Linked DNA regions of Coturnix japonica. The protein of the gene in region 2 purifies or fractionates together with the protein of the main gene of each other region. This does not show direct contact. Links are inferred from orthologs where the notes say so. Each region holds a gene or a part of one and is shown on either strand. Other genes may lie near its edges. The genes, in order: DNA-directed RNA polymerase II subunit RPB11-a, MED19 and MED9.

Evidence for each region.
Region 1: the proteins of MED19 (region 2) and DNA-directed RNA polymerase II subunit RPB11-a purify together in Homo sapiens (affinity purification with mass spectrometry; 3 studies listed by BioGRID and IntAct, with this or other methods). This does not show direct contact. The link is inferred for Coturnix japonica from reciprocal best matches to the Homo sapiens genes MED19 and POLR2J.
Region 3: the proteins of MED19 (region 2) and MED9 purify together in Homo sapiens (affinity purification with mass spectrometry; 6 studies listed by BioGRID and IntAct, counting the BioPlex papers as one, with this or other methods). This does not show direct contact. The link is inferred for Coturnix japonica from reciprocal best matches to the Homo sapiens genes MED19 and MED9.

The regions. Positions count from the first base shown.
Region 1 is NC_029534.1:3,079,816-3,083,561, reverse strand, and holds DNA-directed RNA polymerase II subunit RPB11-a, read left to right. Parts: upstream 1-1,249; 5' UTR 1,250-1,328; coding exon 1,329-1,381; intron 1,382-1,518; coding exon 1,519-1,608; intron 1,609-1,713; coding exon 1,714-1,888; intron 1,889-2,841; coding exon 2,842-2,877; 3' UTR 2,878-3,220; downstream 3,221-3,746. Other genes in the region: ras GTPase-activating protein 4-like, read left to right, coding at 1-176, 248-385, 454-589, 661-781, 853-902, 1,007-1,128; LRWD1 (leucine-rich repeat and WD repeat-containing protein 1), read right to left, coding at 3,437-3,577. UniProt on the Homo sapiens protein: Core component of RNA polymerase II (Pol II), a DNA-dependent RNA polymerase which synthesizes mRNA precursors and many functional non-coding RNAs using the four ribonucleoside triphosphates as substrates.
Region 2 is NC_029520.1:7,805,553-7,808,797, forward strand, and holds MED19 (mediator of RNA polymerase II transcription subunit 19), read right to left. Parts: upstream 1,946-3,245; 5' UTR 1,923-1,945; coding exon 1,727-1,922; intron 1,586-1,726; coding exon 1,329-1,585; intron 1,262-1,328; coding exon 1,165-1,261; intron 1,083-1,164; coding exon 988-1,082; intron 851-987; coding exon 782-850; 3' UTR 517-781; downstream 1-516. Other genes in the region: TMX2 (thioredoxin-related transmembrane protein 2), read left to right, coding at 2,017-2,205, 2,472-2,532, 2,657-2,770, 3,054-3,130, 3,211-3,245. UniProt on the Homo sapiens protein: Component of the Mediator complex, a coactivator involved in the regulated transcription of nearly all RNA polymerase II-dependent genes.
Region 3 is NC_029529.1:4,804,469-4,808,163, reverse strand, and holds the start of MED9 (mediator of RNA polymerase II transcription subunit 9), read right to left. Parts: upstream 2,814-3,695; 5' UTR 2,779-2,813; coding exon 2,630-2,778; intron 1-2,629.

The DNA.
Region 1 (3,746 bases), on a different chromosome or scaffold from region 2:
AGGAGGAGGGTGGAGAGGAGCAGCCCTGTGCCCCCCGCAGCAACGTGGTGAAGGAGGGGCTGCTGTTTGTCCATAAGACACGGGGCAAAGGGCCGCTGCTTGCTTCTGCATCCAAGAAGCTGCACTTCTGCCTCACCAGCGAGGCACTCAGCTTCAGCAAGAGCCCCGGGGCAGAGGTAGGGGGACGTGGGGTGGTGGGATCCCATGGTGGCACGGAGGGCACCGAGCGCTGTGTCCCCAATGGCAGAGATGCGGCTCCATCGCTTTGGCCAACATCCGAGCGGCCGAGAAGGTGGAGGAGAAAAGCTTTGGGAGCTGCCACGTCATGCAGGTGGTCTATGTGGATGAGGCCGGGCAGCAGGAGACGGCGTATCTGCAGTGCAAGGTGGGCTGGGATGGGGACGGGGCTGTTTCCCATTGGGGTACTGTGTGACCTCGCTGTTTAACCCGCAGTGTGTCAATGAGCTGAACCAGTGGCTGTCTGCGCTGAGGAAGGTGTGCGGCAACAACCCGCAGCTGCTGCGCTCCTACCACCCCGGGGTCTTCAGGGGGGATAAATGGAGCTGCTGCCACCAGAAGGACAGGACGGGTACGGGCTGCTGGGTGGGGGGTGGGGGTGGTGATGTCCCCGCTATTTTCAGCCCCTGTTCTGTCCCATAGGACCGGGCTGCGGCCGGACCCGGCACAGCATCACCCTGCAGGACTGGACCGACCCGCTGCAGCCCGACGTGGAGGCGCAGCGGCTCTTCCAGCACCTGCACGGGCTGCAGCAGCCCCTCAGGTGGGACCCACAACCGGGGGCAGCCCCCAAAGCGCCCCCTGCCCCGCGGCCAACAGCCCCTTTATCCGCAGGGAGAAGTGCCGGCAGCTCATGGAGCCGGGGGACCCTCAGAACGGAGAAGGTAGAGAAAGGACCCCCAGCTCCCCATCCCCCCCATAGGCGCTGTGCTCTGGGGCTGCTCCCATTCCCGGGGGGTCTCACCGCCCCGCTCTCCCCCCCCCCCAGCCCCACCGCTGACCCCCGCGCTCCGCCGGCTCCTGGATGCGCTGCAGGACCTGGAGCGCTGTCACCGCCGGCTGCCCCCGGCCCAGCCCCCCCTGCAGGAGCTGCCGGAGCCGCAGACGTGACGGACGGACCGGGATGTGCCGGGATGGGGCTGGGGGGGGGGGGGGGGGGGGGGTCGCAGCGTGGCAATAAATGCGCAGCTCCACCCGCTCCGTGTCCGTGCCTTTATAGCGCACTGCGCACGGTCCGCCCGCACGGCAGGGGGCGCTGTGGGCGGAAGTGACGCTGTGTGCGCTGCGGGGAGCGGTGCGGAGCCGGCGGGATGAACGCGCCGCCAGCATTTGAGTCGTTCCTGCTGTTCGAAGGGGAGAAAAAGTGAGTAGGGGGCGGGATGGAGGATGGGGGGGGTCCGGTGGGGGGTTGGGGGCTGCCCGGACCGTCCCGTGCCCCCCCGGTTCCCCCCATGTCCGCCCGGGCTGTGGCAGTGAATCGCCGCCCCCTGTGCTGTGTAGGATCACCATCAACAAGGACACCAAGGTGCCCAACGCCTGTTTGTTCACCATCAACAAGGAGGATCACACGCTGGGAAACATCATCAAGTCGTGAGCTGAGGGAGCTGGGCGCTGCTTACAAGTGCTGGGGCTCTTATAAAGCTCTTACATCTATTAATGTATGTTTGTTTGCTGCTGCTTTGCCTCCTCCCCCAGGCAGCTGCTGAAGGACCCCCAGGTGCTGTTTGCAGGTTACAAGGTCCCGCACCCCCTGGAACATAAAATCATCATCCGCGTCCAAACGACCCCGGATTACAGCCCCCAGGAGGCCTTCACCAACGCCATCACCGACCTGATCAGCGAGCTGTCCCTGCTGGAGGAGAGATTCAGGGTGAGCTCAGTTCTGAGCACTGCGAGAAGCCCATCCTTTGAACCTAAGGGAAGGGCTCAGCCCAGAGCTGCTGCCATCTCGAAGATGATCAGGGGGCTGGAGCACCTCCCCTATGAGGACAGGCTGAGGGAGTTGGGTTTGTGCAGCCTGGAGAAGAGAAGGTTGCGGGGTGACCTCATTGCAGCCTTTCAGAACCTGAAGGGAACCTATAACCAGGAGGGGAGTAAACTCTTGGAAAGGGCTGACAATAGCAGGACACGGGGAAATGGTTTGAAGTTAAAAGAGGGAAGATTTAGGTTGGATGTCAGGGGGAAGTTCTTCACTAGGAGAGTGGTCAGGCCCTGGAACAGGCTGCCCAGGGAGGTTGTGGATGCCCCGTCCTTGGAGGTGTTCAAGGCCAGGTTGGACGGGGCCGTGGGCAACCTGATCTATGGGGTCTCTATGGGGAATCTATGGGGTCTCCTGGGCAACCTGATCTAGTAAATGTGTATGTTTGGTGGCCCTGCCAGGCAGGGGGGTTGAAACTACATGATCCTTGAGGTTCCTTCCAACCCGGGTCATTCTGTGATCATCTAGTCCAACCATTCCCAATACTTCCCGGCTAGATCATACTCAACAACACAACATCCAGACGTTTTCTTGAACACTCCCATGGTCGGTGACTCCACCACCTCTCTGGGCAGTGCATTCCAATGCCTGACTACCCTTTCCGCAAAGTAAAACTTCCTAATGTTCAGCCTGAATCTCCCCTGGCGCAGCTTAAAACCATTCCCTCTAGTTCTATCACTGATAACACAAGAGAAGAGGCCAACCCCCAGCTCACTACAACCTCCCTTCAGGAAGTTATAGAGCAATAAGGTCTCCCCTGAACTCATGCAGTTGTTGTTTGATGTGAAATTGATGAAATCAGTGTTTAAACCATCCACTGACGGTTCTGTTTCTGTTCTTTACAGGTTGCCATTAAAGACAAACAAGAAGGAATCGAGTGAAATCAGCCTGCTCTTAGTGTGATACACTGCTGATGAAGAACGATGTGTCTGAGTGAAATGCTTTATTTAAACCTTCATTCAATGCCAATTACTTTCCTTCCAGTCCTACTGACTTTGGCAGCAGTATTGGGAGGGGATGTTTGTATCTGACATGTCTTGTTTGATTTCATGGCTTAATTCACTAAAATGGTTTTCACTTTTCTAACTGGAGCCTCACTGTCACTATGTGCACTATGCTGTAGCTCAGTCTCACTGCCCTTATGGCAATGAGGAGATGCTGAGTGGCAATAACGGGTCACAGCCCTGGTTTCCCATTCCAAGAAGTTCAGATTCTGCCAGCAGAGTTGTTGTTTTGTTTTATTAAGTGTCATTTCTATAAAACAAATGCACAAATTGTGTAAACTTACAGGAAAAAAGCCTGGATGACTGGATGTGCTTAACGAACTCTTTTACCTTTTGCACGTAACAGCTGGTCTAGAAAACTTTATGGTTATATGGGTAACAGTCACTAATACTGCACTATTTCAAAACACGGGGAATGAACTTCTATAACAAGGAACTATGACTTCTTCCAAATGGCTGTAATGTTCACACTAGTGAGAGCAACAAGGTAAGTGAAAGTAGGGTCTGTTATCACGTTGTTTATGTAGACTTCGCTCAGGTGTTCCCCATTTGCTTGAAGCTCCGGCCATTTGAGAATCTACAGGGAGAACAGAGTTTGTGTAGGAAAGGAATGGTATCATTGTCCATGAAACTTGGGCAATATCAATTATTGCAAAGCCTGGTTTGACAACTGGAGCTGGGTGGGGTCCAAAGAGGTCACATCCCTACCAGATACAGTTAGAGCTAAGACCACACGTGCCTCACAG
Region 2 (3,245 bases):
TTATTATGATTAGCCATTTTAAAAACGAGGAATAAAAGGATATTTAATGAGTCACCTCAGCGGGCATGCGTGTGCTTTGTGCGGTGTCCAGGGATGGAGGAGTCCGTGAAGGATCCTGTCCTTCACTTCTCAGCTTTCCCTCCCTCGTCTGGAGTGGAAAGGAAGGGGACAAGGAGAGCCGGGCCCAGCCTTACAGGGCTGCCAGTGCCTGCGCCCTCACAGCTGGGATGTGCTTCCTTAGGGCACTTTGGGGCACAGCGCTCTCAGTGCAGGTAAGTGGAGCTGTCAGGGTTGGAACATGTCCCAGGACTCAGTGAGGCTCTGGCTCTTCTGTAGGAGCCCCCACAGGGGCAGCCCTGGGGGACATGGTGCTGAACTGGGGTCACTTGTGTCCTCCTGAGCCTTCTCTCACAGCCCAGAGAGCTGCAAGGCCTGGAGTATGATGGGACAGGCACAAGGCCTCTGCTCCTTGCCCTGCCCCGCTGGCCAACAGTCAGAGCCGCCACTGGCACCAGCTCTTCCTCAGAGCAGACTTTAATTAAAAGGTGAATAAAAAAGTGAGATCCCAATGCACCACGTTGCTTAGGTGTGGTAGGAGCCCCCATTCCAGCAGCGTCCGCGTCACCAGGTCCCCATCAGCCACACAGTGCAAGCAGGGGGGTTGCAAGGCCACGTTCTCTGCAAGCGGGGACCATGAGTGCCCACACCTCCCCGCTGTGCTCTGTGATGGGACGAGTCCACAGCTGGGGCAGGGAGCTCCATAGAGCAGCACAGCGCAGCCTCACCGCAAGCTGCTGCTGCTGCTGGCCTGCGAGCTGCCCACCCCGGGGTGCTCGGGGCTGTGTCGGTTCTGCAGAAGAAGGACAGGCGTGAGGCCTTGTGAAACCCAGTGCCAAGCCCTGCTGGAGGCCTAACGTGTGGTGCTGCCGCGGCCTGGCACGGGGCTGGTGCAGGCAGAGCAGAGCAGCACGCTGCCTCCTAACCTACCTTCTTTTTCTTTTTCTCCTTCTTCTTCCTTTTGCGCTCCGGATCCTCCTCTTTCTTCTTCTTCTTTTTCTTGTGGTCTGAGTCCGAGGGGGTTTCTGCAGGAAGCAGAGGAGGGGTGAGCGGGGCACAGAGTTACCAGGACACATGGGGTGCAGAGTTAGCAGGGCACGGTCCTACCTGGGGGCACAGGGTCCTGCGTGCGGCTCTGCTTGTGCTTGTGCTTGTTCTTCTTCTTGGGCGGCTGGATGTGCATGAGGCGGCACTGCTCCGGCAGCTGCAGGGGCTCATGTCAGCGGACCCCCTCCTTACCCCCATCCCCCCTTCCTCCCCCGGGTGCTCACCGGGCCGGCGTGCAGTCGGAACCCGGTCAGCATGGTGCCGGTGAGCGGCGTGAAGGAGCTGCCGCAGATGGGCGGCTTCTCGATGAGGGAGCGCAGGCTGCTGTTGTCGTGTGAGCCGGGCAGGTCGATCATGCCGGGCAGGTCGGGCAGGAAGTTGCTGAGCTTCTCCTTCACCTTCTTGCCGCAGAACTTGTTGTACGCGTGCTCCAGGCTGTAGTGTGTGATCAGGTTGCTGCTGCCCGTCAGCTCCGTGCCGCCTGCGGACGGACCGGCACCCTCAGCGCCCCGCCCCTCGCCGGACCGCCCGCGCCCATTGGCCCGACGAGCCGTCACTCCGCGCGTCCCGCCCGCTCATTGGCCCCGCGCCCCCCCCCCCTCCCCCGCGGCCCGGCCCGCACCCGGCAGCTCCCGCAGCAGGTAGAAGGGGCCGGTGGCGGCCTTGCGCGCCGCGTCGTCTCCCGGCGGCGGCACGGCGGCTGCTGGAGGCGGAGCGGCCCCCGCTCCCGGCCCCTTGTTGGGCCCGAAGCCCAGCGCGGCGGCGGCGGCGGCGGGAGGCGGCTCGGCCCCGCCGAACAGCGCCGAGAAGTTCTCCATCTTCCCGCCCTGCCCCGCGCGGGGCCGCCCCGCCCCTCGCGGACGTACGTGCAGCTCCGGCCAATGGGAGCGCGGCGGGCGGCCGGAGGACAAGATGGCGGTGCTGGCCCCGCTGCTGGCGCTGCTGTACTCGGTGCCGGGGCTGTGCCGCTGGCTGGCCCGGCCCTACTACCCGCTGTCCGCGCTGCTCGCCACCGCATTCCTGCTCGTCCGCAAGGTCCCGCCGCTGTGCCGCGGGCTGCCCTCACAGCGGGAGGACGGCAACCCCTGCGACTTCGACTGGGTGAGCGGCAGCACCGGGCCGGCCTGTGCCGTGGCCTACTCGGGTATCACCGGCGCTGGGTGCAGCCGAGGCGGCCCCTCTGTGCGCAGCCCCGGCTCCTGATCGAGGGCAGGCGGAGGATGAAGGCTGGAGCGGCCTGGAATGGCTGCTTGGCCTTGTGGTTGTGCTGCAGGGCTGCTCGGTTGTGCCCGAGGTGCTGGCTGTGGCTGTGGCTGTGGCTGTGGCTGTGGCTGTCACGGTGCTCACTGCGTTTCTCTCCTGTGCAGCGGGAGGTGGAGATCCTCATGTTCCTCAGCGCCATCGTCATGATGAAGAACCGGCGCTCCAGTGAGTTGGGGCAGTGCTGGGTTGAGTATAAGCTGCTGATGGGGTGTCTCTGTACTGGAAACAGTTGAGGGATGAGAGTGAAAAGAGACGTGGCCCCATCTCTGATTTCTTCCCTCCTTCCCAGTCACTGTGGAGCAGCACATTGGGAACATCTTCATGTTCAGCAAAGTGGCCAACGCCATCCTCTTCTTCCGTCTTGACATCCGCATGGGCCTGCTCTACCTCACGCTCTGCATCGGTGAGACACGTGGGGAAGTGGGGGGGGATCCGTAATGCAGGGGCTGTAACAGTGCTCCTGTCAGGCCTTGTCTCTGCCCATCCTGTGCATTGCCTTCCTCAAATGGGGCTGGAGCCATCTTGCCTTGTGCTGCTGCTGTCTTTGTAGCCATACAGGCTGCTCTGGGGAAGGAGGAGCCTCCCTCAGACTAAGCCTGTGTCTCTTGGGCATTCCAGAAGTGGAAAAAAGGGGGCAGAGGCCTCGCTCCAGGTGGGCGCTGGGCTCAGGGATGCTGTTATTGCAGTGTTCCTGATGACCTGCAAGCCACCCCTTTACATGGGACCTGAGTATATCAAGTACTTCAACGATAAGACCATAGATGTGAGTATCTCCTACCCAGTGTGAGTTGGCGTGGGGTGCCGGGCTCCCTGCCTACCATCCCCTGTTGACTCGCGTGGCAGGAGGAGCTGGAACGAGACAAGCGGGTGACCTGGAT
Region 3 (3,695 bases), on a different chromosome or scaffold from region 2:
TTCAGCACACCATCCAGTAACCTTAATTGCAGTCCTACAGGTTAAGACCTGGTCTGCAGCTTTCAAACACTACCACAGCCTCTCACTCTGTTTCAATTCCCATATGGGGAAGGTAAGATTACACACACACAGGTTGTGTGTGGGCACCTGGGAAAAAAGACCTCAGCCCCGTCTGTGACCTGTTGTCAAAGCAATACAAGAAATCGATGCAGTCAAACAGCTTGACAGCAGAAAATAGGAATCGTTCCCCAAAGTACCAGAGTGTGTCCAATGGCAGAGAAAACGGCATTTCGGAGCTTCAGAACGACTCTCCGGGGATGTCTACCTAATAAAGAGAAGCGACAGCTTATTTTTTAAGAGCAGCACAATTGCTTCTGCAGCTCCGTGCTTCTCGAGGATCAGCGTCGTCTGAGGCAGCGTCTGCCCTCAAACCCTCATTAGTATCTGCTTCAGCTTTGTTAGCTACAGCAAGGAGTTTTACCATTCCAGGCAAAGGCGAGACTGCTTCCAAGGCAGCGCTAATAACGAGAGCAGGCTGCTAACGGCCCCTGTAAGCTGGGAGCCTGTTCAATAGCCAGGCCCAAAATAAAACTGCTTGGCATGACCAGGGCAGAGAGGTGCCTGATTAGAACTTTGGGGAATCGTGACACGACTGAGAGCAAAACTTTTAACCAGATGGTCCCGTTCATTTCAACAGCCTGTTGGAACAAAATATTCATGACTCCCTTCTAAATAAAACCGCAGCTGGTACTATAATGTACCCCCATTATGCAGGCGTTTACGGTCAAGTTGACAGTGGAAAAATACAGGCACACACACATTGCACATCTGGGAAGGATGGGTTGGCATTGCCTTTAATCCACACGAGCTGCATGCTGGATTCAAAGGGCCGACCAGGTCCTTCCACAGCTCGTTCTCTTCTCCACATCCAAAGAATGGATGGTTGCCTGGTTGGTTGGTTGGTTTGAAGGAATAACTATTTTCAGGCTTGTTGTTGTTTTGTTTCTGATGGGAGTTTTCAAGTAATTGAAGCAGCTCCTCTGCAGGCATGGAAAGGCAGGGGGGAGAGCAAGAGTGGGAAGAGGTTCAGCTACCTGCAGTTACACAGGATTAAATGCAATGTCCAGCCACAGCCTCACAGTGCTTGGGATCTCCCTTCAAGGACTGAGATCTTCAGACCCTCCCCAGCTGCCCACCAGCTCTCCTTCACTGCTGTGAACAAATCATAACTCCATCATGTCCCACCTGCAGCTCCTGGATACACCAGCACAACCCACCACGCACAGGGACCTCACAGGTAACCTCATCTGATTATACAAGGGTGAAAGTAACAGCAAGCCCTGCCTGGGAGAACTTTCTTGGGACTCAAACAACAGGAAGGAACACGTGTCCTTGAATGTAAGCAAATGTACGCGATACATCACTGCACCCCAGCACAGTCACCTTGGAGATGTGAAATGTCTTCAGGGCTGAGTCAGTGTCAGAACAGCAGGGCCGGGCTGTGAGCCTGGCGGCGGCGTTAAAGGATAATACGTTTGCCATCTGTCAGGGACATGAGGCAACTCATCCCACTGCTCGGCTCTGCCGTCTGACCCCTCTGCAGTGCTGCTCTGAGCACCTACGTCTGCTCACCCCGTGCAGGAAATGCTGTGTGCCAACCTGGGGGGGAGCGGGGCAGTGGGAGTGGGTGGCTCAGAGGGACAGGGCACAGGATATCCCAGCACTGTCATTGTGGGTCGCCACGACTTGCTTGGTGACACACAGGAGGCTGGGAGGTCTCAGCCCGTGGATCTGGCTCACTCTGGCTCTGCACACATATACAGATGGCAGCAGGTTCAGCATCACCTCTGGATGGATCAGGCAGGGTTGAGCACAGGGACAGTGGCAGCGCAGGGGGGAAATGGAGGGTGGGTTTGAGTTCTCATAGCTCTCCTGAATCTAGGAGAGCTAGATTCTAGGCTGCCGTGTCTGTGGGGTATTCGGCCTTTCCTTGCCATGCTCCTCCAGCTGCATGGTTAATAAGGGTGAACCTCTTCTGGGTACTCAGACACACAGAACCCCAGCAGGAAACAAAGCAGCCTCAGCTCCCATAGAAGCGTGCAGGGAAAGGGCAGTCAGACCCACAACAAGGAGTGGGAATTCACGCTTCCTGTGCCCTCTGCATCACTGTGCAACGTGCCCAGGTCACAGCAGGGCGATGCCCCTACCGGGAACTCAAACATTTCTGACAGGGTTACCCTGGGCCACAAACGCTGGTTGTCAGGACCCTCGTACGAACACCTTTAACCCCACAGCATTGATTTTGAACAGGAAAGAGGATGACTCAGCCTGCACAAGCCTTCCTCTTTCTCCCAACGCCCAGAAACAGACAGTGCTGCCCTGGGACTGCCCGTCCTTTACTTATCAGCCCATCAGAGCAGCAATACGGGGCAATAACAGCTCGGCACGGCTCCTGCTGCTGCACACCCGGCCCTGCCCCACCTCGGTGACCCCAACTACGGGCCCGGCTCAGAGCAGAGCAGCTGCCAACCCCCCCATAGACCCCAGCGGGGAGAGAAAGGGCAGAGGGAGCATCCCTGCGGGGTGATGCCGTGGTGAGGCCGGCCCGGCGCTGTGCGGCCGCCGTTACCATTTGATGATGTCGTGGACGAGCGGCAGGAAGGAGAACTCCTCCTGCGCTGCTGCCGGCGGGGCGGGCGGCGGTTTCTGCTCGGTGGGCGGCTCGGCCGGCGGCGGCTCCTCGGCGGCCCCTCGGCCTGCGGACACCACCGAGGCCATGGCGGCCCCCGGCGCCGAGCAGTGACGGAGCGGGGCGGAGCTCGGCCGCTCTGTACCGCCCCGGCGGCGGCCTGGGCTGAGCATCAGATGCTGCTTGTGTGTGGGGCTCAGTTTGGGCCTGGGCAGGAGGTTGGGGTGTGGGGATGCTGCGGGCCGTGGCCTGGGGCTGAGGCCTGGGCCGGAGCGGGGCTCGGAGGCCTCCCTGGGTCCTGGGCTGTGAGGGTGGGTGTGGGGGCTGAGCCCGGGGTCAAGCTTTGGGACTGGGTCTCAGATATGGGACTGCACTGCTGCTGAGGTGTTCCCCAGCTGAGCCGGGCCTGTGCTCCCAAGGCAGTGCCCTGCACACCCACACTGAGCACCCCACAGTGTGACCTACAGCATCCCTGACCTGTGTGCAGCCCAACTGTTCCTGGCTGTCCTCGTTGGAGAGGAGGGCCATGGAGATGCTGTGAGGGCTGGAGCACCTCTCCCATATAAAGGCAGGCTGAGGGAGTTCAGCCTGGAGAAGAGAAGGGCTTTCAGGGCTTGGAACTGGAGAAACCTGAAGGAATGGAGGCAAAAATCCAGCAGCAGGGCTGAGACATCCATGAAGCTGCAAGGAGGGGAGAGGTGGGGTTCTTGGGTGCCTGGGCTGTGAGTGCAAGGGGGTGATGGAGAACACGCTGCATGGAAGGTGAGGGTGAGCAGTGCTGCCCCTGTGCACCATCAGGAGTGTGCTTCAGCAAACTGCTGCTGCCGCGTTTAAACCGCTCTGTCAATACACACTATTGTAGCACTGATAACAGCAGCCACAGTCGTGAGTTATCCTTCCTGGATTGGCTTAGAGAGCACAGATAATTTTGTTTTTTATTTGAATTCAGCTCCCGGGTTCATCAGTTAGTTATAGCCCAGGGATGACGGGAAAGGTAATTTTCATT